Linked DNA regions of Schizosaccharomyces pombe. The gene in region 2 interacts genetically with the main gene of each other region. Each region holds a gene or a part of one and is shown on either strand. Other genes may lie near its edges. The genes, in order: nic1, slx9, nup97 and gpd3.

Evidence for each region.
Region 1: mutations in slx9 (region 2) and nic1 together harm fitness less than expected from each alone (positive genetic interaction), as found in Schizosaccharomyces pombe (one large-scale study listed by BioGRID).
Region 3: mutations in slx9 (region 2) and nup97 together harm fitness more than expected from each alone (negative genetic interaction), as found in Schizosaccharomyces pombe (one large-scale study listed by BioGRID).
Region 4: mutations in slx9 (region 2) and gpd3 together harm fitness more than expected from each alone (negative genetic interaction), as found in Schizosaccharomyces pombe (one large-scale study listed by BioGRID).

The regions. Positions count from the first base shown.
Region 1 is NC_003421.2:40,245-49,211, reverse strand, and holds nic1 (plasma membrane NiCoT heavy metal ion transmembrane transporter Nic1), read right to left. Parts: upstream 5,670-8,967; 5' UTR 5,368-5,669; coding exon 4,141-5,367; 3' UTR 3,518-4,140; coding exon of another isoform or gene 2,300-3,517; 3' UTR 2,227-2,299; downstream 1-2,226. Other genes in the region: glyoxylase III Hsp3101, read left to right, coding at 737-1,471; SPOM_SPCC757.02C (epimarase), read left to right, coding at 2,300-3,517.
Region 2 is NC_003424.3:494,031-500,454, reverse strand, and holds slx9 (ribosome biogenesis protein), read right to left. Parts: upstream 2,399-6,424; 5' UTR 2,285-2,398; coding exon 2,282-2,284; exon of another isoform or gene 2,241-2,281; coding exon 1,725-2,240; 3' UTR 1,428-1,724; downstream 1-1,427. Other genes in the region: erd1 (EXS domain-containing protein), read left to right, coding at 50-1,171; dop1 (family protein DOPEY), read right to left, coding at 2,766-5,788, 5,840-6,032, 6,070-6,424.
Region 3 is NC_003421.2:2,161,190-2,170,439, reverse strand, and holds nup97 (nuclear pore complex component nup97), read right to left. Parts: upstream 5,420-9,250; 5' UTR 5,409-5,419; coding exon 5,215-5,408; exon of another isoform or gene 5,166-5,214; coding exon 2,804-5,165; 3' UTR 2,642-2,803; downstream 1-2,641. Other genes in the region: SPOM_SPCC1620.12C (GTPase-activating protein), read left to right, coding at 654-659, 725-2,641; protein Cwf26, read right to left, coding at 6,275-6,281, 6,322-7,220; transcription factor TFIIF complex alpha subunit Tfg1, read left to right, coding at 7,317-7,856, 7,940-8,035, 8,077-8,875, 8,925-9,109. UniProt on the Schizosaccharomyces pombe protein: Has a role in meiosis.
Region 4 is NC_003423.3:574,625-581,683, forward strand, and holds gpd3 (glyceraldehyde 3-phosphate dehydrogenase Gpd3), read left to right. Parts: upstream 1-3,492; 5' UTR 3,493-3,557; intron 3,558-4,100; 5' UTR 4,101-4,106; coding exon 4,107-5,114; 3' UTR 5,115-5,432; downstream 5,433-7,059. Other genes in the region: Rho-type GTPase-activating protein Rga6, read left to right, coding at 6,623-7,059.

The DNA.
Region 1 (8,967 bases), on a different chromosome or scaffold from region 2:
TTGACATCTTATCTTTTTAATGATTTCGAATATAGAGGCGTTGTTGGTATAAAATTATTCGAGCTCTAATCTAAACGTAAAACAGTATAACGTGGCATACTGAAGAGCAAAAAAAGAAAAAATATAATTAAAGTTGCGGTTGGCGAGTGTAAATGAAAAAAACTTAAACCTCTTATTTTATCTGAATATTCAATAAACTCCAATTGAATAGATCAAATTTACAGTTGTCTTTTGAAACGAGCAACATTCTAGCTTGGTATGTTCATATAGTAATAAAGTACTTTAAAAAATTTCCGTTCACAATCATAGACTACGAAATTTTAATTACGCATCGCTCACAATCCTAAAACGTATGAGGAAAATCATGATGATAATTGAAACTAGCAAAAAGTCCTTGAAGCAAATCTCTCAAATCAAGATGAAACTTATACACTAAACAATACAAAGAGATTTGCATTTTCTCAGTAGCGATCGCAATGTCCTTCTACACAATAGAATAGAATTGTGCCGAAACCACTTTAGATTCAAACGTATCCATCTGATTTTAAGATGAATTTAACATCATATTGACACAATGCCCTCGTCACTCTTTCTATAGAAATCCAAGAACCTGGTAAATAGATTACGTGAGTAGTCGTAATGGAAATTCATCCCGCTTTTGCAATTAAGTGATGTTTTTTTAAAATTTGTTATTTATTGAGGTGAAGCTGCAAAGATCACCCATTCATTATACACCATGGCATCAGAAGGAAAAGTACTTCTCGTGGCAAGCAGTTACTATGGACCATTTTATCCAGATGGAATGAATACTGGAGTTCACTTTGCGGAACTTTTGATTCCCTATCAAGTTTTCAGAGAAGCGGGTTATGAAGTTCAACTAACTTCAGAAACAGGAAAATGTAAATTCGACGACCATTCAATCAAAAAATCTGCCTTGGGTGAAGTGGAGAGGGATGCTTTTGACAACAAGGATAATGAGTTTTGGTATGCGCTGAAGGATATTAAGCCTGCCGATAAAATTAACTACAAAGAGTTCTGTATCATGTTTATTGCAGGAGGTCATGCAGCCATGTTTGATCTACCACATGCCACAAATTTGCAAACGCTTGCTCAACAAATTTATGCAAGCAATGGTGTACTTGCTGCCGTCTGCCACGGTCCAGTTATGCTGCCTTTTGTAGATGACACCAAGTCACCAGAAGGACGTTCCGTCGTATATGGTAAGAAGGTTACCGCCTTCAATAGTACTGGAGAGCTTGTAATGGGTGTATCAAGTGCTTTGAGAGAAAGGAACATGCAAGATCTGAACAGCTTGTTTAGAGAAGCCGGTGCAGAGTTCGTTGACCCGCCTACCCCGATGTCCGATTTCACTCAGGTAGATGGAAGAATTGTAACAGGTGTGAATCCAATGAGTGCTAAATCTACAGCGGAGGCTGCCATAAAAGTTTCACAATCTCTTCGCAAGACATGAACCATCCATTTTTGTAACGATTCTTTTTTTACTCTACCTGCTAAATGCCTTGATGAATTCGACATTGATGAAAGCGTATAATTGATGGCTTCAAAGATCGATCATTAGTTTTATTTCGATGACTAAGAGACGGTTGTAAATAGCAACTTGAGCTTTAAAGACCAATATTAATGACACTTAAATTTCTAGAATAGCGAGAGTTAATAGTGGAACAATTTATTGTTTTTGTTAGTAGCTGGATTTTATTGGATTTATTTATTATTTCCTTTTTATTTTAGATTGTTAGTTTTTGAACTAATTACGAACAGCTTGTGAGGTTTCAAAAATGACTTTTAACCATCCAACCAAGCAACCTTCCAAGCAACCTTCCCATAAAGTTAACAGTTTATAGTCAGGTGTTCTAAAACAATTAGATAAATATTCATTGTTATGTTTTTCCATCAGTCGCAAGGGGCATCACTGCAATGGTGCCTCGATTTCTCTGTATTCAACTTGCTTGCTAAGCTCTAACAGCGTCCCTACATATAGTCAGCATTATTAAAATACCTTTTGTATTTCATACCTCAATCAAATATGACCATACATACTTGCAACATCATACTGTTATTATCACACCGACATGTGTTCACTAGCTATTGTGAATTTCACAAACTAGAACAAGTCTATAGTATGGATGATGTTACTAGTGATATAGCAAAAGTGAATGAGATCATAAAATTTGGGTATAAATTAAAGCATAAATGCTATATATATATATATATATATATATATATATATATATTTCATATATGCGAGATTTCTTAAAAGATATTCAAAGTTAGAAACACAATGGCAGAAGAAGGTTACGTGGCTATAGTGACTGGGGCAACAGGATTAAATGGTGCAGCTATTATTAAGAGACTGTCAGAGGATGATAATTGCAAAACTATACACTGTATTTCTCGTTCGTTGAAAGATGAATACCCTAGAAAAATCAAGCATCATTCCATAGATCTGCTAAATGAAGAACCCAAAGATATTGCAAAAAAGTTTTCTCTCGAGGGGGTTAAGGGAATAAATTATGCATACTTTGCAGCTTATAAAGAAGAAAATAATGAAGAAAAGTTGTGTGAAGTTAACGGTAACATGTTGAGAAACTTTGTGCAAGCATTAGAACTTACTTCCATTCAAACTTTGAGACGCGTAATTCTAACCACTGGTCTAAAATTTTATGGATTACATTTAGGAGAAGTTCGTTTGCCAATGATTGAGACAGACATACGAGTACCTGAAACATTTAGTGGAACTCCAAATTTTTACTACGTTCAAGAAGATATTCTTAAAGAATTTAGTAACGGTAAAAAATGGGACTACACCATAGCTATGCCGAATGATATTTGCGGAGTATCAAAAGGAAGCTACATGAATGAAGCATTCACTATAGCATTATATGCTTTGGTTTGCAGGGAGCTTCATGAACCGTTCCGATTTCCAGGAAATGAAAAGTTCTATCTCGGCTTCGATGATATCTCGTATTCAAAGCTAATTGCTGATTTTCAATTATGGATGACATTTAAAGCAGAATGCAGTGAAGAGAAATTCAACATTGTAAACGGAGATATTCACAGTTGGTCAAGAACTTGGCCTAAAATAGCCGAATATTTTGGGGTCGAGGTACCAAAAAACCAATTTGCAACGGATTTTACATTAAGTACAGAAGTTACTTTAAGTACACCTTCTCCCATAAATCTGTACGAAAAAGAGCTCGGCATTAAACATACCCCCAATAGTAAAATAATAAACCAAATATCGCTTCAACAATGGGTCAAGCAAAAGAAAGTCCAAGACGCTTGGAGGACAATCGCAGAAAGAGAAAAACTCAATGCTCATGCTTTAGAAGTTGGGACTTGGGCGTTTTGTGATTTTTTGTTCGGCAGGACGTACAACGTTATATCCTCAATGAGCAAAGCCAGGAAGCTTGGTTACACTGATTACTATGATACCTTTGATGGATTTAAAGAGACATTTGATGAATTAAAAAAACAGAAACAAATCCCACAAAATTAGTCGAACTCATGAATTTCTCATTTTTTATTTTATATAAAAAATTTGAAGAATGTTCGAATCTCAGAAATGGAAGAAACTAATTCAACTTTTTCTTCGACAGTTTACTAATCAAATAGTCAAGCAATGAATGAATCACCCAATGAAATCAATTCTTTGTCAAGAATTTTATAAAAGTATTCTAGAATACATCGGGTAATATATTTGACCCGTATGTTATATTGAATAAACCTGCATTTTCAAGCCTCCAAAAGTTGAGTAAGCAAAGTGCTAATGCCGATACACAGTATTTTTTTAAAAAAAATACAGCCCTGGTATTTTGCCCGAATCATAAAGCCAGGCCCAAGGAGGATTTTTTGTTATCATGTAAAATATGTAAAGAATAAATTTTTCACATTTTGCTTGCCTTTCTTTTTTCACACAAATAAATTGCTACTAGCAACTGTTTAACCTATATGACCTCAAACGAATGTATGTGGCTCGTCTGCTTATTCAAATCATCAATATCGAACCGAGTTTCTATTTCATCATGATAAAGGCATAAAGACTTTTAACCCAAGCAACAGGTTAAGAGAACAAATCGAGAATACTGAAGAAAAAAAAAGGAAACAGAAATTCCCAGTCGTTCAAACCTTAGAATCCACTGTATCGTAACTCACCTTTTCACTTTCGGAAATTTGAACAGAAATCGAGTTTTTTGATACGTTTTCTAATTCTTTATTTTTCTCTAGAACTTCGTCCTCTCTGTCATTTCCTACTTGCACTGGAGGTGTAAATTTTTTCTTAAAGTAATTATGCATGGAAATACCAAACAAACCTGCTAGAACAAAGGCACCGCATATACATCCACCGACTATTTCGTAATTATCAGATAATCTATTGAGGCCATTCCAAAATGTACTTTCCATTGGGTGGACACTTATGATTAGCATAAGCATTTGAATGATACCAATTGTAAATGCTGCTATAACCGAAACAAATGTTAAAATTATGGAGTAATAAAGCCTAGAGAAATAAGGATTGGTTTCACCCGAAGAATATGAGTAAGCATAATACATTAATGCTCCATCTGTGGTATCAACTAAGCACATTCCAACAAGAAATACAATGGGGAAAAGTAAGATTGCCCATATAGATGTTCCTTTTAAGGCTTGCAAGGTTGCGATACCCAACAAGGAAACCTCAGTACTGGTATCAAATCCCAATCCGAAAACAAAACCAAGTACATAAATCTTCCACGGAGAGTCAACCAATCTAAACAATCTCTGCATTTTTCGAGCTAAGAATCCGGTGACCCCTTCATCTTTAGTGACACCAGATTTGCGATACATCCAAAGCCAATACGATAACCGGACTAGTAAAACGGTATTTCCAATTGCCAACAAAAGTAATAGTCCCATGCTAACTGAAGTTCCAATTATTCCTCCTATGGTTTGAAAGTTATTCCATCGATCTGCAAACTTACTGGAAGTAGCTGCTACTACGATGCAAGTTATAAGGACTACAGTTGAATGACCAATGCTGAACCAAGTTCCAACTGTTGACATTGGTTTGTCTGTTGATAATAAACGGCGCGTTAAGTTGTCAATTGCAGTAATATGATCAGCATCGAGAGCGTGTCTTAAACCAAGTGTCCAAGATAATAAAACTGAGAGAAATAACGATCTGTTAACTAAACTGATGACTATTGCCGCAACTATCCAAACTACGATATTTACCGATATCAAAGAAAAGATAGGCACGCTAACCTTTGGTGGAAGCTTTGATAGAAAGGGTATTTCGAAATAAAAATTCTCAAACTTCCTTAGAAATTCATTTTTTCTAGGTTTAACATATTCAGACATACTGTTCATACAAATAAACGCGTAATTTGAATAGATTGCGTTCACATAAACCTGTATCCACTTAGGATTCCAATAATAATAACAATTTTACCTAATATCACAACAGTTCTGCAACGCACTGTAGTAGTTTACTTTAAAGGAAGTAAATCGCTTGAGTTTGTGAGAAACGAACTTGGTTGACTCACAAAGTTCCTATCCTCAACACAATGGTAAAAGAATTGAATAGTGCAGAGTGTAGAAAAGATGAGCAGGTGATTTCAAAGGGTAAAATCAAAGCGATCATGAAGGATACTGCTGTAGTGCAACCTATCAAAGTCATATTTAATTCACGTGTCGCAGATTCATCTCGTAAGCAGCAACGACCGATATGGCGGTGATGCTTAAACGTGTTTATTGTCAGCAATACTACACTACGCTATGATACACTACGTTGAGTATCACTATATGTCACATGTTCTAATTATATATCGTACCATGTATGATACGATATGGAGATTGATCTTAATGATAATCTATTAAGATCAATATTATCTGAATACTATAAATAGAGCTACTGCTGAACCTCGTTCCTCAGTTCAGTTATGAGCTATATTAGTGATAGGTAACATTATAACCCAGTTAATACAATACCTATACTCAGTTGCTACTTATACAACCTGTGTATTGTAATATAATAGATCACAAGGAAAACTCACCGCAGTTCTACGTATCTTTAAATCAGATACCAAACTGCGTAGCTTACATATAAATTACATAACGCTAATGTCATACAACACCGTATTCGTCTGATTTGTCTACAAAAATGTAAACAAACAATTATTTTATCGCATTGATACAACAAACCAATTGAATATCGCCTTTTGAAGCATAAACTTTGCATTTAAAAGATGAATAAACAAAGGAAGAAGTTAATTGGATCTCACACCGCATAAACGATGCATAAAGTTTGATGTGGTGTCGTAACGGTGTATTATAGGTTGTTAACTGAGAGGTAAACATCAAACGTTTTCCGATTGGGTCCATGAATAAAGACTAAAAATGAGTAAATGTAAACAAACCCGACTATATATTGAGACTATTTTGTCAATTGAAATTCATAACCTCACTTCCATTCATACAGCTAAACATTTTTCAGGATTTTAGCTTGAAAAATGGGAAAACAAATAAACCAGTATCTTTAGAGGTTGTCAGTATCCATATCTTAAACAAAAGGTTAAATGCGGTTATGAGTGTCATCAAGCACGTTTCCGTAATGAATTAAAATTCAACAAAATACAGCGTGATAAAACAACGATACAAATCTTGATTTTACAAGTTATCGTTTGTTCTTTGTGATTATGTTTATCATTATCATCATTTACTTTTATTAATATGATGACTAGCTTTCCTACCCAAAAGCATGTTATTGTATTAGTAATTTGGTTACCCGAAAAAGTATAAAAACTTTTTCACTGGCTACCCTCTTTTGGTTACTTCCTATGGTTGTAAATATTTGGAACATCTTTACTTTCCTTCTTCATCGTTTTAGGAAAGACGACATTGTTCTTTATATTTCGCATTACTGCATGGTCGGTGAATCATTTATTTGACCAATGATTCAAGTCTTGTAATCCCCCAGTTCATTAAGAGGATTTCAGTTTCTTCTTTTAATAAGTTTAGTGTCGTCATTGAAGATTAGGTCAAAACAATGGCAATATCTGGCCCCATTTGTTTAAAATTATATTTTCTATCTTGTTTTCAATTTTCAATATTCGGAAAAGCTTCATTTTTTGAGATAACTTAAGAGAGATTTTTACATTGCTATGTACATTTAATTATGCCCACATAGATTGGATACCCAATAAAATTTGTGAAATTTTCAAATAAGCATATGCTTTGTAACAATATAGGATATCGGCGGTTCATTTGTTTTCAGTGCCAAGTCGATCTTTTAATGAGGAAATAATGAGTAGACTGTAAGAATTTCAATATTGAAACGTAAATTAGATAAATGCACTTTCGTCTCTATTTGTTAGGTAAAAAAATGCGAGATTAAATTTGTTTCACACTATTTTTCTAACGATCAATATATTCAACTATTTTCTGAATTTATCTTTTACAATAACAGTCAGGTATATTGACTTTTTGATTAAATTTAGAATATGTGAAAGTATTTTGCTGTTTTAGTGACTCTAAGCAATATTTATAATGTCGTCTACCGCATATTCCCAATAACCGATTATGTACTTGTAAAATCACTCAATTAATATTTTTATAATCTTTAGCCTTATAAACTTCAAGTTTTTTTTTTAAATTCGAATAAGCAAAGAACCTTTCATTTGTAGGATAATGAGCCCTAGTAAGATTTGCATTCGTAATTAATCTTTTAAACACTTAACAAACTGCTGTGTATCTTAATGTAGCGAGGCGAGCACTACAAGGGTAAGCGTCGTCAATTTAAACATTCGTTAATTACCTTTTTTAATCAAGACTAAACAGCATGCGAAGTTTTTTAAGCATTATAGGAGGTTTGATCCTTGCTAGTTGTTAAACACTATTTAAGTTAACTAGAGTAGAAGCGGATGCTCAAATGGCTCTTTTGGCTTTGGCAAATTCTTTTGAGAAGGTTAAGTTGGACAATGATAGTCTTCAACTTCGAATAATTGTCAATTGATGTATGCAAACGAACAGACAATGTGTATTCTCTTACAATATTCGAAAGTCCGGTGGAAGTACAGCCATTACTCATTAAAATGCCGCAGAATGGGATCAGCAGTTCGGAATGTGGGTTGTCTTAAAGCACTATTGTCCTCAAATCTTTGAGCAAAATGGTAGACTGTCTGCGTCCCTATTCATTTCCTTTTCTGAAAGAGATCAGTTGATTGGTCCATTCCTGTATAATGGGGAGTCCGTTCGTACTTTTGCATTATCCACTGATTTTACCTATCCAGGTCATTTTCTATCAGTTAAAGAAAAGAAAGAAAGACTTTTTTGCTTTGTCTCAAGACCTCTAACTAAGGAAGGATCACCTATCACCTGCTGGCCTTAAGGTTTGGTTAGATGACAAGTGTCAAATCCATGACATGCGTAACGCTGCTTATTCAAATAATGCTTTGTATTACAGCCCTCTAGTATTAATTTTCAAATTTTTTCCGACCTCCGTTTATTGGGTACACCTAATGAAACCACAACCCTCCGATTGTTCCCCCATGCATTGTGCTCTTACACTGCTCATTGTGAGTTCAGCTTTTGGTACCGCATTCTTTTTGGTGGACAAAGCCTTCTAATTACAACTACCTTGGTTAATTTACCCCATGGAATTAAAAGGACATTAAGGAGTCTTTCGATGTTTTTTTTGGAACGTCTAGTGCTTATTTGGCCGTATTTGGTTTTGGAGTATGGCGACTAATAAAGCGTAATTTCATAGCTATGACTATGACAGGCTTGTATTGATCCAAGGCTTACCAGATTGTTTTGAAGATTTTGTACAGAAAGCTTATGAGATCCTCTAAAGCTTTGGATATGATCGATGTATTTGTTATCTGTTCCAGAAGTTATTTGATATGGCTGTATGTAATTTATTTGTTGTATAAGAACTTTTATCTTGAATCATCTACGACTTCAAAACAT
Region 2 (6,424 bases):
TCAAGTTTATTTTAATATATTATTTCAGATTTTCTCCCTTTTATTTAATATGGCGTTGATAGAGGATTTGAATCACTTTATCAATTATTTTCCTCTAGTATTGAGATTATTCTTCTTGGTCGTATTTGGTCTTTATTCTTTCACATTGATATTACATCTATTAGTGATAAATAGGGTCGACGTGTTCTCATTATTACATACTCCGTTGCCTGTCAATCGATCACAGCAAGCTAATGCTCCTCTATGGCAATTGTCATTCTCCCTATCTATATTAGGTACTCTACTTTTCGTAATAGCCGAATCCTTATATTTGATTTCTGGGTCTGATGAATTGGCATACGTCCCCGTTTTTATTTTTGGTGTTATTGTTTTTATGCCTGTACATAAGTTCTGGTTCTTCCAGAGAAAGGTGTTTACTCGACAGTGTCTAAGGATTTTGGGAGGAAGCTACAGACCTGATTACAAATTTCCCGATGTTATATTTTCTGATTTATTGACTTCTTACTCGAGGGTCATTGCTGATCTCTGGCTAGCTGGAGCAATCTTGATTTACGTAACTGACTCACCTAATAACTCTCATAGAAAACAATATGAAAATGAGGTTATTATGTCAATGATTGCAGCGTATCCATACGCTATCCGATTTCGTCAATGTTTGATTGAAAGAAGCTCTGCGGATAATTCATCAGATAAATTTTGGAGTACATTGAATTCTATCAAGTATTTCACTGCTTTTCCAGCGATATTCCTTGGGATTTTTGCAAAGAAAAGATTTAGCTTTCTATGGTTTTTATGGAATACCTCTTCAGCTATAAATTCAACTTATTCATTTTGGTGGGATGTTTCAATGGATTGGAGTCTTCCCTTTTTTAAGCAACCGTTATCAATCCAAAACTGGAAATTTGGGGTTCGGCGTTTATTCCCAACATTCACATTTGCAGTTGTAAGTGCGATTGATTTTGTTTTGCGAATGGCCTGGGTAGTTCGCGTTTTGCCTGAACATCAATCCGCGTTTTTTACCACCGACTTTGGGATCTTTATAATGCAATTTCTTGAAGTTTTCCGACGTTGTGTTTGGGTTTTTTTTCGGATAGAAGCCGAAGCTTCTAAATCATTGGCCTATGTTAACATAAGTGATCGTAGTGACATCCCGACAATACATCCAGATTAAATGGAAATGATTGAAGTTACTATTGTCACATATGTGTAGGTATTACATCTGCAACCTTTTCAAAAAATTTCTTTCTTTAGGGCGTATCAATTTACCGTTCTATTATTTGCTTGGCATATAATATGTTTTTCATTCTTTTATTGCGCTAATGGTTTAATATTGCAAGTACATTGTCATTTGCGGACTTGCAACACAATGGCACCGTCTCGCTGAATTGGGTTTACTTAAAGTAAGAAAGTTACTTAAAATTTTATTATGGATATATACTTTTATTTGTTACATGGGAATCGTAATGGGTTTGAACAAATTTCACCATCTTTTACTGATTAAGTTGTTGAGTCAAAAGTTTAAAACATGAATTTAATAATAAATAAATAAATCAAGCTCTCTTTTTGCATACTGAATAACAAACTAGATCAGTAGACTTTTTTATTGTAAAAACATAATCAGTAAGTATGAAAAGAACCTCCCAAAGAAAACCCCCCAAATTAATCATGCATTTATAGTGTACTCAAATTCCTTCCAAATTTACCTAGACATGAGCATGCTCTATTTATCTACTATCCAAAGAGTTTCCTAAGTGCTCCCGTACCGTTTCCAAAGGATTTGAAACGAATGAAGGGTGCTTCAATATGGCTTGGAACCTTTCGATTTCCTCAACGGTATTTCGTTTCATAGAACTCTTAGTTTGTTTAGAAGATAAACTATCCTTAATTACGGGCTTCAACCTGGAGTTAGCTACCGAAATATCAAGATCAATTTCTGGAAGTACTTCTCCAATCGAAGACACATTGACTTTCAGGTTTTCTCTGGCTTTACGGTTCCGGCGCTTACGAGCCGAAGCAGATATTTTTGGATTAGAAAATTTTTGCTGCCAGTTGAAATGACGGTCTTTCCGTTTATCTTTCTTTGTTTCTTTCAGCGGATCATTGTTGAGCACTTGACTATTCGAAGTAACGGTGGAAGATAACTCGACATTTGGAATACTAGCTTGTTGGCTAGGTTTACCAGAAGACGGTAAACGACTTGATGCTTTTGACGCTAGACTGACTCTTTTTTTTGCTTTTGGCTGTTGTCGTCAGCCAAACGTTTATCTATGGATGAACATACCATGCTAAAATAAAATTGATTGTGAATCAATCGATAAAAATCGTTTTAAATGTTAAATAGGATATATAACCAAAATAATATTTACGATTGGAGTGAAATATCTTGAATATTCGGTGTGCTTTCTGGTTTAAAAATTCACTACAACTATTGGCATCGGATTTAACGGACTGCCCTTGATTGCGTAAGTTGGTTTCATAATATTAGTATTTGAAATGAAAAACTTAACTTACATTAATTTCCATCTTATGTGCAATGAATTAAGAAACAACATTAATTAACAATTTTTATAAATTAAAGCAGTTTTAAATGAATGTCCAACATGGTTCCTAAAGTATTTGCAAACTAAACCCTATAGCCATTTTCCGAATATAAACATTGAAACTTGAAAAGAAAATACATACAAAAATAATTAGGTTAGAGTAACTGGAAGTTACATAAGAAGCCACACAGCCTAGACTTCCTAATCGATATAAAATACTATGAATTAATTACTGGAGCCAGCCAGGCTTGATGGAGCCTTAATTGAAGAAAAGGGAGATAGGGGAGCATTAGAAAACCTTTGAAGAACTTCCCTGTAAATAGAATTTTCAAAAGATTGTATGTCGATTGTTGAAAACGAGTAGCTTTCTTCATAAGCGTCTATAGAAATGCGATTTAAAAAGTTTCTTAATTGAGCGTCCGTTGTGTAAATGCCTAAAGAAGGGGTTCTTGTAGTTGAAGTAAGAATAGAATGTTCGGATTCAACACTGGATTTGTCGTCCTTCTCCGATGCTTGCTCCTGAAGTCGCTCAGAAACCTTTTGTACGAGGGATTTACGGCTAGTTTTTCCGCTCCAATAGACAGCATCTAGTGGACTAAGCATCACAACCCATTCATGTAGCGCAAATTCTTCAAGTTTGAGTGCAGTTAAAAAATCCAAAAGCCTGCATGCGTCTAATAATGTCTCTTTAGAAATGGCAACATTTGGCATACAGTAAGATTTAAAAATGATCAACAATTCGCTAACAACGATTGGCCATAATGGAAGCAAATGCTTCGAAGAGGTCCTTAAAGCTAGAGCTCTAATAAATAAAAACAGGTCCTTTTTTAATACTCCTTCAGGATCAGACGTTATAAGCCGTTTGACAAGGTCAATCAGAGGTGGAAGACTAGGCAGGAAAAAATCACGTGGAGAAGATAACATTAATATTGTGATCCGACATATGTTGCTCTGCCTTGCACCTAGTTGAGTATCCCGAGATGTAAATAAAGTAGTAACGCCTAAATCAGATTTTGTTATGAGATCATTTAATCTAGATATCTCTTGGTACAAAGCTGTGTATATTACTGGAGAAAGCTTTCTTAATTGATCAATATCGAACCTGAACAGTGAATTATCATTAAAAATTTCCCAAAAATCGCGCCTCCATGATTTACTCAAAAACGGATGTTTACTCAACACGAGCAATAAGTCCAAATGATAAGTGGTGAGTGATTCCGGAAATGTCCTAGCCTTTACTAAAGGAGTTATAAATACATTGACGATTGATGTAGCCCAAGCAACTAGTTTATCTTCTTCCTTAGAAAGCTCGGTTATTTTTGGAACAAACTCAGAACAGAAAAAGTCAAGCAAAGAGGGATCTAAGTATTTTACGAATAAATACACGGAGCTAGTTTTCTTTTGTGTTTTGGCAACCTCAAACGTGTCTGCAGCAGCTTTATGATACGCCAGAAAATCTACAGTTAGGTTTGGATCACTTGATTTTCCTGCATGAAATAAGACTGAGGACAATGTTTTCCCCATCAAATCAATAAAGTCTTTTTGCTGGCGAGATTCGCAATAAGTGTTCACGTTTTTTGCAACTTCCAGTAGCATTCGTAAACATACCAGCAAATAGTTTTTAAAGCTGTTTGAGGAAGAAATAATCTCCCGAACAAATTTTGAAATTTCCGTAAAAATCTTAGATGTGTTTTCGCCCTCCACTCTGGAGACGAAGTCAGACATACAGCATAAAATATCGAGTTGTGTAATCTTTGCTGTCAAACTAGAAGGCCCTGCATAACTAGCTATTCCTTCACGTGCAAAAAAAGAAGAAACTAATTGCTTAACAATGTACTGAGGTTCAGAATCACTAAGAAATGAAAATATATCCCATATACACTGGCAACACTCAACATTGTTCTCCAAATAGATTTGTACCAGCGTTTCTACGCATTCAAGAGGTTCACAGAAGTAAAACTCTTTTAATCCCGATAAGGATGCTTCTTTTAAAACCGATGAATCATTCATAAATACTTTTGACGTTTTATCAGCATATGAAGACCGAATATGCCATGAATATGATAAAAATAATGTTTGCAAAGCATCCTGCATAGTTAAAAGCATAGATAATCTCTTGTTGACATCGATGCTAACGCCTGACGACTCCGCTGCAAACACACCAGAAATGACATTTCCGATGATACCATTGGCTTCTAAATTACTTTTCTTGGGGCCGGGTGAATATGTGAATTCCAATAAGGCTGCTGAAACTAACTCGCTAAGCATTTTCAACTTAGCAATAAAAACATCCATGCACGCATAATCTTTTACTGGGTCAGGGTATTTTAGGTACATAGACTCGTGTTGGTCAAGAAATGAATGAACAAATTTGCACAAAGATTGAATGGGATTAACCATCAAAAGTTGAAGGTTTTGTAAAAGAAGAGGTAAAAGCTTCTTTATAGCATGTAGCCACTTTGGCGAAAGTCCTGGATCATCATTCAACATTCCAACCAAAACAAAATTGGACAACAGATAATGCTGTTCAGAGGAAAGATCTATAGTCCCATCTAATCGAGAGAGTAAAAATTCTAGCATTTGCAAAAGACTCAAAATAAAACTTCGATAAGTTGATGAAGGAGAACGCTCAACTTCCTGTACAAGCGCAAACAACCCAACGATTAGACTAGATTCAAATTTTAGAGGGTTTTCCCATATGGAGGTTATTTGGTAAAGCAATCGCAAAGCCCAGGTTTGAATAATATACACATCTGTGCTCGTTTTTATGTTTTGAGGAGTTAATACTATATCTAAGCACAGTTTGACTAAAAAAGCAAGAAATGAAGAGTAAGTTAAAGATTTTTTTTGAATCAAAAGGGCGTCAGCCCAAGTGACCAGGCATAGTTCCTCTACCTGCTTCGCACTCTTAAGTCTTCCTTCTTTAGGATGAAGATCTTGAAAATAAGAAATTATACGAGTGCAAAGTTTTAGAAAATATACACATCGACTAGCTTCACTATTTCTCTGGTCCTCATTTATATTATATCTGGTCATAGCCGTTTCCAGAGAATTGACACTGGTTAGATTGGGAGATAAACTCAATAAATTTTCAGTCATAAGTTCCAAGACACGTAATTGCAAAGAACTTGATGCATTAATCCAATTCATCATTGCTGTATAATCTCTCCCAGACTCATCTTCTAATAATGAATTTAATAAAAGTAATAGGGGCCTGTCAAAAACGAAATGAAACAGAGATTGTTGAGCTTGAAAGTTAGAAAACAGTAAAAAAAGAAAAGAAAACAAGAAAAACTTACCACTCTTCTTTAAAAGATTATAGAAAGGTGTATAGTATATCGTTGGAGCTCTCAGCTCAAGTTGCTCTTTCACAATGCACGTTGAAAAGTACGATTCAATTATTCTAGTTTGAAGTTTCTCTTGGAGGGTCCAAATAACAGATAAAAGCTCCTCTTCTCTGAAATAAGAAAACATACATAGCTCACACCAAATCTACATAGTCAGTACGTTGGATATCATAAGTACTTACCCTATCCAAAATCACATTGACGCAAGCTGTAGAGTTAATCAAAATCCTTGATGGCAATTGCTTTACAAAACTACCAAGGGTTTGAAAACTCCACGAATTATCTTTAAATCCCTGTAAGGATAGATCAAGAAACTCATTTTCAAATTCGGTGTCTGAAGCTTCCTTGATAAGATTAAGAGATATTAATAAAACTTCATGATGAACATGAGAATCTTTTATGTATTGCTTTAACAGTGACAATAACGAACATTTGCATTTTTTATACAAAATCTCATAAGTTAATATGCCATTTTCAAAGTCCGAGTCTAAGTTTAACGTGCATTTCGCATAACTGTCAATAGCAGAATTATTATAA
Region 3 (9,250 bases), on a different chromosome or scaffold from region 2:
TATTTAGTAAAAAATAAGTTCATTAAGATAGTAAGAAAAGGTTTTGAATGCTCACAATTTTTCAATCCTTAGACACGAGCGCTTTGCATGTCGTAAATGTCTTTAATCGTTTCGAATCTGTATCTTCTTTTCAAGTACGAGAATATACGCAGGTCCAATTAAGAAAAGTTATATTTTAAATTTTTGAAAGAAATTAACAATCTCAATTTTCATCACCCTCTCTCTTATTTAACTTGTAAATTCATTTTGGACAATTGCTTGTAACAAGTTAACTGACAAACCGAATAAACCTAGAATTATAAGTATTACAAAATCACCTAATAAATTCTTCCTATTTGACGGGAACTACTGAAAAGGAAAGTGGCTCGCCATTGTTAAAGTAGTAATCGATGCCGCCTATATCCTTTCAGATACCTACCACCCACACAATACATACATTTACTGAACGAAACGAAAGTGTTTGATCTGTTTTAAAAGCGTTTTCAATTCATAAAGAGGGCATCTTCATTTCCCTTTATAATTACTAATTCGTGTTTCCTAAGCCTATTTCACTTGTAAACAATACTTGGGTTACCGGCCTCTCCAGTTGCTTGAGAGAAAACAATTTTAGTTTGAACAGATTAGCATTTTTTACTAATAAGGGTCTCTTTTTTATGTCTGTATGTTTTGCTAATATCTATCTACTTCAATCATTTCAGGTGTCTAACTAATCTTGATACTCCAGAAATCTGTAAACGCTTCCCTATCTAGCGCAATTAATAGCGTTACATTGGTGAAACAAGAAAACTTAAAGGAGAACCTTCAAAATGGCTCTGCTGTCTCAGTTGGGTCTTCGGAATCCTCAAACCACTCAATGAAGGAAATTAGTTTAGACTACTCATCTCCTAGTTTGCAGCAAACGGAAGAACAGGATCGGGAACTTAATTTTATAGATTCTTCTATGTTGCGTCCCACTCCTCCCCAGGAAAGCGATAATCGCTTGGCCGTTGAAAAACCTAACATTCAACCTCTTCAAGGTCATTCCCCTGTTCCATCCTTTATGTCAACTGCATCTACCAATATTTCATCCTCCAAAATAAATAATAATCAAACAGAATTTGAACAATTACGCGATTCCTACAAGTCTCACGGCGATTTAAATAGCGCCATTAACGATTCACGTATTCAATCAATCATTTTCGAGCTTAATCAACAATGTGAAAAAGAGTCAATTCCCGTTTCTAATATCGATTGGCTTCAATGGGCCAGTGTGCCTCTTTTTGCTTATGACCTTCCGCCTGATCCTTCTAATCCCAATGCTACATCCTCCTCTCCCCCTCCCTTGACACCGATTTTAGAACTAATTAAACAAAATAACTTTTGTATTCCATCTCCGTGTCGAAAACTGGTCTGGCAATCCCTTGTTTCCGCTGAACGTAATGAACTTCTAACACTTTACGCTACTTTAAGTACTACTAATAATTCTTTGGATTCTTCTATTCGGAAGATTATTCGTATGCAATCTTTCAGAGGACCTTTGGAGCCTTTTAAATATTCTTCTACTACAAGGCATAAAGTTTCAACTGAGTCTATATTTCACGTTTTGCATGCTTTTACTTTGTTTGATACAACTGTTGAGTATAACATTGAACCTTTGCTATGGTTAACTTGTGCTTTTCTATCGTATATGGCTCAAGGAAACGCCTTCCGTTCGCTAGTTTGTTTCATTCAAAGAGGTGGAATTCGTGAGTTTTTCATATCCCAATCCAGTTCTCTTGACGAAAGTCTTTTCGCTTTGGTTTGGGGTTGTTTGGGTGACTTGGCACCAAGTGTCGCTATCTCATTACAACGTATAAAAGTTAGTTCATTGTGTATACTATATCCATCATTAGCATGCTGCTTTGCCGATTCGTTGCAATTACCCGAAGCACTCCGCCTTATGGATTTAATTGCTATCTACGGCTTGGAAATGTTTGTGCGTCTTCTTGTTGCTATTTTTTTAAAGGATCGGGACAAGATTGTAAATATGGTTTCTCATGAACAGTGGGTTAAGTATTTACGCTCAGACGTTTTAGCTTCATATCGGCAGCCTCTGGTCCAAAAGTATACATTTTACACAAGAACTCCTGTCGACTTAAATGCATGGGTTGAAGATTCACTTGCTCTAAACATCGATACTACTCAGTTCCCATCCTATCTTTCATATCACGAAACCTCCGTATCTCACAACACCTATCGCCAAAATAACTTAGAGGAACTTAAAAATCAAAATGATTATTTAACCTCTCAGATAACTAATTTAGAGGAGGGAATGGTTATGTTGAATAAGGAAAACACTAAACTTTCTGAAGCACTTTCCAACCATCGAGTAACAAGAAGCGAAATGGAGGAGGCTACAGAAATTTTAAAAAATAATTCTGCTGATCTGAAAGCTCAATTAGAGAAACAGCCTCAGGAATTGGAAAATAGGCTTCTTCAAGAAATCTCAATCCTTAAGCAGCGCAATCAAAAATTTCTTAAAAACAATGCTACTTCAATTCAACAAATACAATATCTTGATGAGGAACTTGGAAAGACTTTAAAGCAGCTAAATGACCTCAAGGAAAAACATGCTCAGCTACAAACTAAATGGAAAAGTGTCTCTGAGATGTTTAGAAATTAGCACGATAAACCAAAGATCACTCTTTATTGCTATTATTATTAACATGAAGACTAGTGCATTCAACACTTTTTTAATGATGGATAATTAGGACTCAATGAATGTATAGGCATAAAAATTTAGTGAAGTCAAGTAAACATAGAATAAACAACCTTAAAAAAATAATCATGTCATTTCTATTTCGCAGCGATTTAACTGTTCAAGAATTTGAGAAGGCATACGATATTCTATCAGGAAACTGTACATGACAATTCTTCGTGCTTTTTGTCTATATAGGCGTAACTTATCCACGGATATAGCGTCATTTCCAAAAGATGAAGATTTTTGTTTAGCATAAAGTTCTTTAAGGCTGTTCATGGCTATTAAAACAATACCAGGTACGTTTTGTAATAAATTTTCATTGAGAAATCGAAATTCTTTTGCAAGTTTTCTCACAACAAAAGTTTCACAGTCTGAGTCAAGTGGGTCAAGGGGTAAAATTTCTAACTGCTGTAAAGACGATAAAGCTTGTTCATAGTCTTTATTGGTATATGCATTGAACGCCTCCACAGTCAATAAAAGCAAATTCGTCGTCTCGCGATTTTTGTAATCCACTTTGGCATACAAAGAAGGGTTTCTGTTGTATACATCCATCATACTTTTAGTTAAAGATATAAGTTTATCGGGAAAAACAAACTGGTCCAAAAACCTTAGCAATGCAGAGCCCAGCCGTCTATTTATAACTGTTACTGCCGCATCGTAATCCTCAGCTAAATGATATAAAAGAATGGCATCAGATAATAATCCCTGATCATCAGCCTGTTTAGCAGCAGTAAGAGTGATTTTTGATAAGTATTCTTTTACAGAAGAAAGACCAATCAAAGACCTGTGATTCTCCAAAAAGGAAGGAGTCCTCTCGCCATCACCACGTATATCGCCAAGAAGATTAACATAATCACGAGTAGAAAGTACCAAACTGCACAGAGATTTATGACACATCGAGATATATTTATCAATTTTGCACATTGGTATAAGATAACAGGCAGACATTACAGGACTTAATTCTTGACAAGTTTGGGTATAATCGATTAACAACCGATCGAATTCAAGGGAAGGCTTCCCAGATTTTGTTTCAACCAGCATTGATTGAATCTTTCCAGGTTCATTACTGACAACTGAGCTAGAAGGTGCAGTGCGCAACAGACCGTAGTATGCGCAAGTAATGGCAAAATGGACTGCATCGGTTGGAAAATAAGGATATAAAAAATTAATGGCACGCTCGTAAAGACCACAAAGCATTAACAAAAAGAAGTACATAACGGGATTAGATCCGTTGTTAGTAAAATAATCGGAGCCATACGAAAGCAAAATATGTTGAACATCTTCCAATGAAAAAAATTCGTGAGCGGAAACGCTTTTTTCAGTAAATTCACGTGACAAAATTAACTGGAACCAGATGTAATCTTCAGTGACAGAACAAATCGATGGACACGAAGTTTTAGAAAGGTCGCAGCGTCCAATTATTTTGTATACTGCATACTTATAAGGATCAGAAGATTCCTGTAGACGAATGGTTTGATTAAACTCAGAAAACAATTGACTCCGAAGTTGCCTTGGTAAAATACCATTCGGAGCCTTCGCATAAGCATTGATATAAAAAGGAAATTTCTCAGCCACCTTTTCAAAAAGATCTCTGTTTTCTTCAGTAAAGTCCACTGCTTCCTTTAAAAAACCACATCGTAATAGATAGAATATGAAAGCCCATATAGGAACATCTTGGATTATTTCTAAATCTGGATTAATCCAAACACCGTTCCTTAATAGACGAATGTTCAAATACGCTCGAATTTTGTTACGTATTGAAGGAACACCGCCTACCAAAGCAGCCTGGGGGGTTTTTGCAATTTCCTTATTCAAAACTTCAAAAAATTGAGCTTCAAGGAACTTACGGGAACAGTCAGAAATCCTTTGATAGAACCGAGAGTTAACCGAGCCATCCTCAGTCTCAATGTCAAAGGCTTTTGAGATTATGCCTTTATTGCCAAACACTGTCACAGAATCCTTATCCAATATAACAGAGGAAAGTAACTTCCAGGATTCGTAAAGGAGAAGAGACTTTGTATCATGAGCAAATTCTCTTGCAACCTCACAAAAAGAACTGACAAGCTTTGATTGAAATCCGTGCAGTGCTTCCTCCTCAAGACACATTTTTAAAGTGGAAGCAAACTTCTGCGAACGTTGCACCGAGAAAGGATAAAAGGATACTCTCTTTTTATTTTCAAGTAAAATATTATCAAAGGAGGGTCTGCTTTTTGCAGCTTTGGAACGCCATTCCTCTTCCAAATATTGATCGAACGCTATTTGGGTGTTTTGTACCAATGCTTCCAAAGAATTTAAAACATTTTTTTCTCGATGATACTTCAAAAACATATCTACATCGGTAAAGGACAACTCGAGAGTAGTGGGAGGTCTTACTTGTAGAGAGAGCGACTCAATTTTCTTCCATGTTTGTTCGGCATTAATACCGCTTCCAGCAAGCAAATAATGGCTATATCGTTCATTAGACAAATATATCTAATAGGATACAAATAACTTACGCTTTTGTATTACCATCCTTACTAGTAGGAACGGTGTTCAAGTAATGTTTTGCGCGTTGTTCAATCTCACCCAAATTGAACTGGATAAACGGAAGACATGGTTCCAACAACTCATTAGCAAGTTTACGAGACTTTTGATCTAAAAAAGGTATGCCTCTAGCTTCCTTTGGTGAATCGTCAGACGCAACCGTCATGGCGATGGTCAAGATGTAAACAAGCACAATGCGTTTGAGAGAATCTGTCTCGGTGAACTAAGGAAATTGAAGTCACCGAGTTCACCGAACCTTAATTGTTAAAAACAATATTTCATACTAAACAGGTCAACAGTAAAACGTTAAAGAGTATTTGAATCATCCTTGTACTCGGTTGGAATTACAAATTCTTATGCAAAAAGCTTTGCTTTACGTATACAGCAAGTGTGAAGTCAAGTCTGTCTATGTGGATGTGAAAGGGCTTAAAAAGTATAAAATTAAAAATTTTAAAATACTATTTTCAAACATCGATTGTTCTCGTTTAGCTCTTACTATCATTTAAAAGCCAATACATATGAATTCACAGAATCAGCAGTGAATTATTTGGGCCCTTAGGGACAGCAATAGGGAAATGATATTTAATATTGGTAAAAAGTGTTCAGAATTTAGAGAAATAACTGAATGGATGATATTTCAAACCCTCTTACTACTAACAGCCGTGGTCGCTCATACTCATACGTTTAATGACCCATAATTGAATATAGGATTAAGAAATCGTCAGAAATTTAAAAATAAATATATATAAACTAGCAAAAAATATTTTAGTATAGATAAGGCTACCATTGTCTCGTGGTGTGCGATTTCCCAATAAAGCTATTTGCTATAAGCGTTTTGCTTTTGTAGGTAAATATCAAAGCCATTAGTTAATTAAAGGAAATGGGACAGAATCTGGAAAATCAAGTATTGTGCCTCGGTTGACACTCGTAAACTAGAAGAGATTATGTTCAACTCGCATTACAATATCATATACATGAAACCAAATAGTCTCCTCCATTTTCAGCAGAAGAAATAATGAAATCGTTAAATATTTACATGCTGATTTCGTTAGAGATTTATTCAAAAACTGATTACTTACTCCTCAATTGCCCACATATGTGCCTCGTGTTCTTGTGCCTTTCTCTCATTTTGGCGCTGAAACCATTTATTTTCAAATCCATTACCACGAATAATTCCATCCCAACGATGGCCAGGTCGTATATTAAACCTATTGGGAGGCGCATATCCTTGATAAGTAGCTTTTGATGATACAGGTTTATTAGTGAGAAACGAAGCAGCTGGGTCATTCCAACGAGACCTTTCTTTCAATTCCTTATTGTATTCAGGATCGTCCTCATAACGCGCCAATGGCACCGTTTTTTGCCTTTCAAGTTCTTTTAGGTATTCTTTCTGTTGACGCACTTGAACCACACCTTGTTGTTGTTCCTTCTGTCTTCTAGCTTCTTCCTCTTTCTCTTTTAATTTTCTTTTGGCTTCTTTTCTTGCAAGAACCAGATCTATCCTTCTCCCTGTGGCATCTCTGTAAACAGTTTCGCGACTTTTGCGAAGCTCTTCCTCATCAAGATTGGATGATTTCTCTTCTCTCTTTCTTCTTTCTTCAGCTTTAAAGGTCACCTGCTTTCCAGTTAACAGACCGAACTGAGGAATTGATTCAGCATCATGAGAATCCTGTTGTTCAGATTCGACAACTTCATCATTCCCCACAGCTTTCCACAACTGAGCAGGTTTATTAGTAGTTTTTTCTATATTCTGATAAATAGCATCAATATCTCGATCTTTAAGGCTTTCATTTGCGACAATTGTAGGGGCATCATGCAAAGATGTGAGTTCTCTGTTGACTAGTGAAAATGAATTGTCATCGTCCCATCCAGCGACATCTTCATCCTGAATTTCTACAAAATCCTTCTCTTTCTTCTTTTTCTTTTTCCCTTGATCTTTTCGTAAATACTTTTTAGCAATATAGTCGGCGTTTGACATATGTGCTGAATGCATATTTTCTTACCTGAGCGCTTCTTAACTCGCTACCTTCCAACACCGGCGGAAGATCAGTATTGACATATTTTATCGGAGAACATGGATTCACAAGAGACAAAAGTTTTTGAAAATGTAAAGCAGGAAAATCCTGATGAGAAGAAACCCAAAGTTGAGGAGCCTGACTCCCAAAATAATGCTTCGACACAATCGCAGCAAAAATTTTTGGATTTCCAGCTTTCATGGTGTCCAGAGAGTGAAAGAAAAACAACTAAATACCATTTATTAAAATTTCACTCTAACAAAGCCATTGATCCTTCCAAATCCTTTGTGCCACCCATAAAAATGCAACGCAGAGACCCCAATGCTCCATCTTCGTCAAACGGAGAACAAAATGCAGAACAAGGAAGCTCCAGTAACGTGAACATCGCTTCAATCGCTCCTTACGGTGGCGCTCAAAACATGAAGCAGAATGCCTTTAAAAGGAAAACTCGCCAGGTCGTCAAAGTTGATCCACAGGCCCGCAGACTACAAGAGGAGGAGTTATCTCCTTGGATTATGGAAGATTTTGAAGGAAAAAACACATGGGTTAGTACGATGGAAGGCGGCCAATCGTCTGCATATGTATTGTTCATGTTCTCTGTAAGTTTTTATCCCATTTGAAGATGTTGGATGTTTATCATTCATCTTTTGATCATTTAAGATTTTTTATGCTTACTCTATAGGAAAATGGTTTTAAGGTGATTCCAACTGATAGATTTTATCGATTTAATCAACGTAACAATTTCCAAACGCTTTCAATTGATGAAGCGGAGGCAAAGGTCAGTCCTTATTTCCATCAGGTCTTGTCTAACCCATTTAGATGAATAAAAAAACTCCGATTCCTCGCTGGTTTATGAAAAAGGAGAGTGAAGAAAACTTAGCAGAGGCAGGCTCTGCTTCACCCATGTATAAACTTAAGACGGTTCCAAATGCACGTCCTGTAACGGGACCGAGAGCTAGTGGAAGTGATGATGAACTAGATTATGACGAGGAATTCGCTGACGATGAAGAAGCACCTATTATGGAAGGAAATGAAGAAGATAATAAGAAGTTGAAAGACAAGATTAAAAAGGAAATGCTAACTGCCAATTTGTTTGGTGAAGCTGATCAAGATGTCGACCTTGAAGAGGAGAATGATAGACAAATGTCGCGTGAAGGAAAAAAGCTGCAAAGATACTTAAAATTGCTTGAAAAGAATTTAGCTTATGAGAGTGATGAGGAAGATGAGGACCCTTATGCTTCCTCCCATGATGCGTCTAGTGAAGAAGAAGTTTTGCAAGAAGAAGAAGAATTGCAAAAGCGTGAAGAAAAACTAAAGTCTAGATTTTCTGCGAACGCTTCCAAAACTAATACACCAAGACCACTAGAACGAACGCCAAGCAGCGTATCTCCTGTCAAAGCTTCATCGCAACTACAATCACCTAATACTTCTATTCAAATAAGGCCTCAAGAACAACTTATTAACAAACCTGGATATATAATTCTCCGCTTATCAAGTGAAAAGTTATCACGGTTTGCCAATGACTTTCCCCGTATGGTCCCTAGCATGGGGTCTACAGAAACGAGTGTAGGAGATCAAGTGGAGGTTGTGGGAGATACTACAAATGTTCCAATTGATGGTATGCTAAAGTTTTACATTTACCAGAAAATTTATTAACGTGCTTTTAGATTCTAATCTGATTACGGAGGCAGAGGTAATGAAGGCTTTAAGAGCTGGTCCCATTTCTATTAAGGATCTAGTTCACCTGTTCCAACGCAAAATTAGAGCCGACAACAGAAATCGGTTGGGAATACAGAAGATCATTCGAAAGGTTGCTCGATTTGAGAACAAGCTACTCGTTTTAAAAAACTAGTTATGAATTATCTATGTAATAACGTTTATATATTAATGAACATTAAAGAAAACATTTGTTTTATTTTTGGAAACAAAATTCAAAATTGCATTAATTTAAGAGCATAGTAGAACTATTACAATTTAACATTTCCCCTAAAAT
Region 4 (7,059 bases), on a different chromosome or scaffold from region 2:
AAACTTGATACTTTTATTTACATTGAAATGAAGAGCAAATTTGTATAATACGTATTATTGATTCTAGAAATATAGCAAATTGAAACATCCAAATTTAGCAAAACAGCATGTCGCTGTTGTAAAATTCTCATGAAAAAATAGAATGTCTAACCTTCACTACTGGCAAGATTCGTTCATGTAGATGTAGTTGAAGAAGAGACAGTGTCATACACAAACGTAGAAAAAGTTCTGAAAAGGAAAAAGACTCCTAGTAGATTATAATTCAAATCAAATCAAACCAATTAAATTCAATAGATCGATGTCTTGAAACATTAATTCCTATAAGGTTGAAAATAGTAGCAATATAACGCAAAAATAGCGAGTCGTAATAGCAAGTAAAATGGTAGTCATTATAAAGGGTTAACTGTATTTCAAGTATAAAGAACGGAGAAAGTTGGAGCAATGGCAATAACACATCGAGGAGTAATTTAGGAAAGTAGTGAGAAAGATGTTAGAAAGGAAATTTAGTAATTTGTAAGTAATGATTTCAGAACTTGGAACGTGAAAGGGAAAAAGATATTTTCATCATAAAGAAAAATTTGCCCATCGTGAAATAGAGAAATAGTGAGAAGAAAACCACCACCGAAATAGCGAGACCCGCAGTATGTTACTTCACGAGTCTCGCTATTTTAGGATTGCATAGGTTATCGGATGGAATCCAGTAAACAAATGGGTAAGGAAAAGTGCGATCAATGATGAGTGGGTTGGGTTACAAATCAATATAGTCAGGTGAAATTAATTCGTTTCTCGATATAAAAGCAATTGAGAAAGGAATTGGATAAAATTTACAGAGAATTAAAAAATGGAGACAAGAAATAAGTGAAATGGGAGTGAACGCTCTTGTAAAAAAGCTATTGAGACAAGTGAAACGGTGAGAGAATGCGTTGACAAATGTGAAAGAAAAGAGAAAAGGGAATGAATATTTATAACAAAAAAAGGTAACAGGATTATCGATGAATTTTGGGGAAAATTTATGTTGAATTGCATGACTTTTTAGAAATCACGCCTCGAATACCGTTAGACATATCATGGTAAACATGTGATTTAGGAATTGGCACATGTAAATGAGGTTGTTGGGTAGAGAGCGGATTTGAATGGTGGTAGATAATTTAGGGTAAATTTGGGATGGATAGAGTAAATGTGAAAATAGTATGTAGGATGGCGGGGGATGCGTGCGAAAGAAAAAGAACGATGCGAAATGAATTGTAAAGTATGTGACTTGGGATGATGCGAAAAAAAAAGAGTCTGGAATAAAATTTGAAGAAGAGAAGAAATACAGTAGGTGGGAGTGCAATGAATTGAATTGGAAGCGAGGAAGCGAACAAAATCGATGGATAACAAGTGAATGAACAACAAAGTGAATTTAGTTTAAAGTCAATTGCTTTGTTGAAAATCAATTTCCTCTGTTTTATCAAGTGTGCGAAGGACAAAGGGAGTAAGAAAGATTCAAAAAAAAAAAAGAAAAGAAAAAGAGGAATTCCTTTTATGAGACATCCAGTTTGTTTGCGAGAACGCCAAGAACTCAAGCGAATATGGAGAGACGACGGTGAAACACGGTATGTTGCATAGTGTAGTGCGGGGTGGATTGCAAGGAGAATGGGTAAATTAGCAAGCGAGCTGGACCCCATTACTGTGATGCATGAGGTAACGCAATGTGCTAAAATGTTTTGGAAAGAATGACACTCTACGTTAGGATAGTGCACGTTGTTGACACTGCTCGTTATGGAGGACAAGGAAGAAACTAGTTCGGCCGTTTGAAGGGAATGGGAATGGGAATTGAATGAAGAAAGAATGGATTGAAGTAGTCAATTGATTAAAAACTCATATTTTTTTGTGTTACTCATTGACCTTTATGAAGACAACAATTCTGGGTTTCCATTGCTTACAGTGTGTTTCCATAGAGCAAAGTTCTTTTTTGATGGCTTTGTTTTTACGTTGCATTACTGTGTTATTCCTCACTCTCTGTATGTGAGTCTCGCGCTGTTTCAGCTGCTTCCTCCTGCTTCCTTCGGTTCCTTTTCCTTTCTTATCGGACGGTGGCCCGCCAAAATTAATTTCGCCTACATAAAAAGTGACGCAATAGAAACTCTCGGAACCAGTATGGACTTGAGGATGAGCGCATCCCGGACCTTGAAAGGATCCTCGTCGATGGTTGATTCGTCAGCTCATTCACATAAGGTTTCTCTAGAAGGTGAATTAGGGTTCTTTCAATCCGAATCCGCCAACCATCACAAGACCTTGTAACCGCCCCGGAAACTCAAATTGTCCCAACTGCCGATCAATTTTTTCCGAAGAAACAGCTTACGATTAACCGAAGGAACGTCCTGGGCAGTCAAGCGCAGAGGAACATAGTGCAAAGCGTCGTAGTTCAGTATAGTCGGACAGCAGAGTATTGTTGAACTCGATAAAGTAGGGGGGGAGAGAGAGAGAGAAAAAGGAGTGGAAAGTGGTAGTAGGTAAATGAGAGATGTCAATAGAAAGCAAAAACTTTATACAATAACAATCTCAACATCAACGATTTTCCTTTTCCAACTGAATCTCTTTTCCAAACTGTGCACTGTAAACAATTGTTCTATATCTTCTCCTTGTTATTCTATGTCTTCTCCTTCATGTTCCACGTCTAACCCGCTCCCTTCCTACCTTTTCGCTACCCTCCTACCCTCCTACCCTCCTCCATCCTCCCTCACAAACAGATGATGTTAACGAGACTTTGCACCTCGTTATTCCCGAGGAGCCGCTGGGATGCCATGAGCCTTGCTAATAGCCCTGTTAGCACGGTCAAACAAAATCATGCAATTCAATGCAAGAATCGTCAGCCTAACAACAGCTAACTGGGCCAACCCTCTAAACATTCCATTCCATCTAGGCATTGGAAACGCCATTCCAAGGGCGGATTGATGGATGATGGAAGGGACGAGACTGACACACACAGCAGATATACTCGATGACTATTAGTGAAGTGAGTCGATGAATAGTGAAGTAAATGAACATTTTTATAGAATCAATAGAAATGGATTGAATCCAATTGCATTCGAAATTTCACAGTTGACTTGGATTTACCACTTGTCTCATTTCTCCCACTTGTCCTCTTGATTACTATGCTATGCTATGCTATGCTATTCTCTTCTCTTCTTCTTTCCTCTACACTCATTGTTTACATTTCTTTTTCTTTTCCACCGCCATCCCAACTCATCCATTCCATGCCATTCCATCCTTGCCTCTCTCGTTCCTGTCAAGCGAGGCGAGGGAAAGGTCAACGCAATGCGTCGATTGTTGTATGATTATGAGCCAAAAATATTCGCATGGGAAGTTATCTAGAAGGCCGCTAATTTCATTATCCGATCTGCCAAGTACCGAACACGGAAATCGCCGCTTACGATACCGTCGTTGGCATGACAACTCTAGCGTAAACACATACAATATAAATAGGAGTGGTAGGCCAGTCTGCTTCTTTGTAGTATCAAGAAATCAGCAATAGTACTTGTTTGGTTTTGAGAAATAGCAATCGAATTAATTAGGTATGTGATGCGCTGTGGCATTGGCAAAGCATTGGCTTGGTGAGACATGTGACATGTGTCAAACACCTGCCAAGAGGGAAAAATAGATTGAGGAAAAGGAAGGGATATTTTCTTTTGATATTCTCTTTTAGTTGAAAAAGATGGATTTTGAGCGATGAATTGAAATGAAAATGGTCAGTGAGATTGCCAAGAGAAGAGGCTCTCTGATTTTACTTGACATGACGAAAACATGTCATATCCAGTATGGTGAAATTGTACAACGAAGTCGTGATAAGATTCGTTAGTTTCCGTTTCTTTCGGTAAAGAAGGCTTTATTTTTCGCTTGACGGCAGTTTGGTCAGAAATTAAAATAGACTTGCCGAAAGCGACAAAGCTGCTGTTTTTAGTATACTTTCTTTTCTATTCTTCTCTCAATAATGATATCTTTTCTTTTAATGACGCTCATCGTTTCTTCTTCTTCTTCTCTTCGCTTTCTTCCCTCTCTCGCTTCTTTTTGCCTTTTTCTCTCCTCTTTGATCTCTTCTTCTTACTAACTCTTTTCAGATAACAATGGCAATTCCTAAAGTTGGTATCAACGGTTTCGGTCGTATTGGCCGTATCGTCCTCCGTAACGCCATCCTCACTGGCAAGATCCAAGTTGTCGCTGTCAACGATCCTTTCATCGATCTTGACTACATGGCATATATGTTCAAGTACGACTCTACCCACGGTCGCTTTGAGGGCTCCGTTGAGACCAAGGGTGGCAAGCTTGTCATCGACGGTCACTCCATCGATGTCCACAACGAGCGTGACCCCGCCAACATCAAGTGGTCTGCCTCTGGTGCTGAGTACGTTATTGAGTCCACTGGTGTCTTCACTACCAAGGAGACTGCCTCTGCTCACTTGAAGGGTGGTGCCAAGCGTGTCATCATCTCTGCTCCTTCCAAGGATGCTCCCATGTTCGTCGTCGGTGTTAACTTGGAGAAGTTCAACCCCTCCGAGAAGGTTATCTCCAACGCCTCTTGCACCACCAACTGTTTGGCTCCCCTTGCCAAGGTCATCAACGACACCTTCGGTATTGAAGAGGGTCTCATGACCACTGTTCACGCTACCACTGCCACCCAAAAGACCGTTGACGGTCCCTCTAAGAAGGACTGGCGTGGTGGTCGTGGCGCCAGCGCCAACATCATCCCCTCCTCCACTGGTGCCGCCAAGGCCGTCGGTAAGGTTATTCCCGCTCTTAACGGTAAGCTTACCGGTATGGCTTTCCGTGTCCCTACCCCCGATGTTTCCGTTGTTGACTTGACCGTCAAGTTGGCCAAGCCTACCAACTACGAGGACATCAAGGCTGCTATCAAGGCTGCCTCTGAGGGTCCCATGAAGGGTGTGTTGGGTTACACCGAGGACTCTGTTGTCTCCACCGACTTCTGTGGTGACAACCACTCCTCCATCTTCGATGCCTCTGCCGGTATCCAACTTTCTCCTCAATTCGTCAAGCTCGTCTCTTGGTACGATAACGAATGGGGTTACTCCCACCGTGTTGTTGACTTGGTTGCCTACACTGCTTCCAAGGATTAGATTGCTTCTTTCGATTTATTCCGTCGTCAATCTATATCTCTCTAATCAGCCGTTGTTAAACTCCAAGCTATTCAACTGAACATGCGTTCGGTTTTGGGGGGTCTTACATATGTGCGAACTTTTGGTTTTTTATTCTTATGCTTGTTTTCCCCCTTTTCCTTTTCTGGGGTTTGCTACGATAATGATAGACATGTATGAGATTTTCCTCTTTTATTCCACGTTATCATTTTGATTGCGCTCCTAGGGCGATCTCTATAGCTGACGACCTTTCTACGAAATAGATTAAGATATAATTTTAAATGAATTGTTTTTTCTTCACTTGTTTTTAATGTGTAAAAAATCCGTAAAGTATGTGGTGTATGAAAATTTTGATTTGAAATGTGGTAGTTTATTGGAGGTAAAAAAGGTAGACTGATTTATAAAGCATTATATAGTTATCATAGTTGCTTGTTAGCATTCTATTACCGTTTGCATTTGAGATAATTGTTTTCGTCTTGATGATAGATATTCGCTAAGATGTTTCCATAAACTTGGCCCACGCTTTTTTGGGTGAAGTAAATAATTTTTCAGTCCTTTTGAGGGCCTCTGCTGCCTATCTTTACTGCCCCTATTTGCAAGTTTCTAGAATGGAAGTGTAAGTCAAACGATAAGAAAAATTATATATTAATAGATAGCAATTTAAATTTAGCATTTTCATTCTTAGTGTTCGTTCACTCCACTTTCCAGATCAATCTCAGACCATCAAGTATGATGATGAAAGCGAGTGTTCCATTTAGGCGGTTCTCGCAACTCTTAATGTTTGATACTTAGAGCTGTTTGTGCTTCAGAAAATTATTCAAAAAATTTCATGCTTGCATTTGATTCTTTTCTGGATAACAGCTAATCCTGTTTTTTGTATTTTGTCCTTTGGTTTTTTGATACCGCATTGCTAGTCACATGTACCCTCATAAAAAATACAGTTATATCTAAGCGAGAAACAATCGCTCGATTGCGAGGCTCATCTATGGAACTGTTTATACTTGTGTCTCATGTTCCAATAGCTTGAAAGTGTGTTTAAGCATGAGATTGTTATTTAAATTATCAATTCATATAGTAACAATATCTGCTTTGGTGCCAAACATTTGAATTCCTTACGAACTAATAATAAGATTGCTTCTCAGATTTCTCAGTGGAATACTTCCATTAGTAACTGCACCATGGGAGTTTGAAAGCTGCTGTCTTTCCTTAAATTACAATAGTCCGTGTAGAAGATGAGTTTTTGGTTCGTTCAATATGTGACTACTTGTTCACCTATCTTTCGCTTCGGCTCGTACTCTACTTTTCAACGCCTGCTACTTGGCTGAACCTCTTAGTAAGTAACGGATGTAGAACGGTTCTTACCAAAGCCAACGTCTCTCTAATCGACATTTATTTCAAAATTCTATCAGTGGAGAGTATATATTGAGGTTTATAGCTTTTACGGGCCTCGAAAACCTCGTGTAGTAAAATTTGAAATTGTTGGGAGAAGTATGACCTTAAATCCTTCGACTCTCAACAATGGAACTCTTGGGGACCTGAAAGAGCACAAGGATGTCGTCTTGTCTAGCAATGCGCAGACCGATGAGAAACGTTTCGAAGAACCGTCGCTAGAGGTGGGAGGATCGTTAGCGAAAGTGGAAAATGGCCTTTCCACATCAATTTCATCATCTGCAAGCAATTTGGAGGGACAGCAAGCTCCTTTCTTTACTAAGCAAAATTCGTGCTTGTCACGCTTTCGTGAGCTAGCTCAGACTTACAACATACACGAAATTAATCTCGAGGAGTACGTTTCCCAGATAAAAGAGGTTAAACAATCTCTGTACTCCGACGATAGCGTATTTAATGAATCCAAAAGTTCTTCACCTCCAGATGCTCATACTGATAAATATTTCACTCCATGTGGATCCCCTACTAAGCTGATACACTC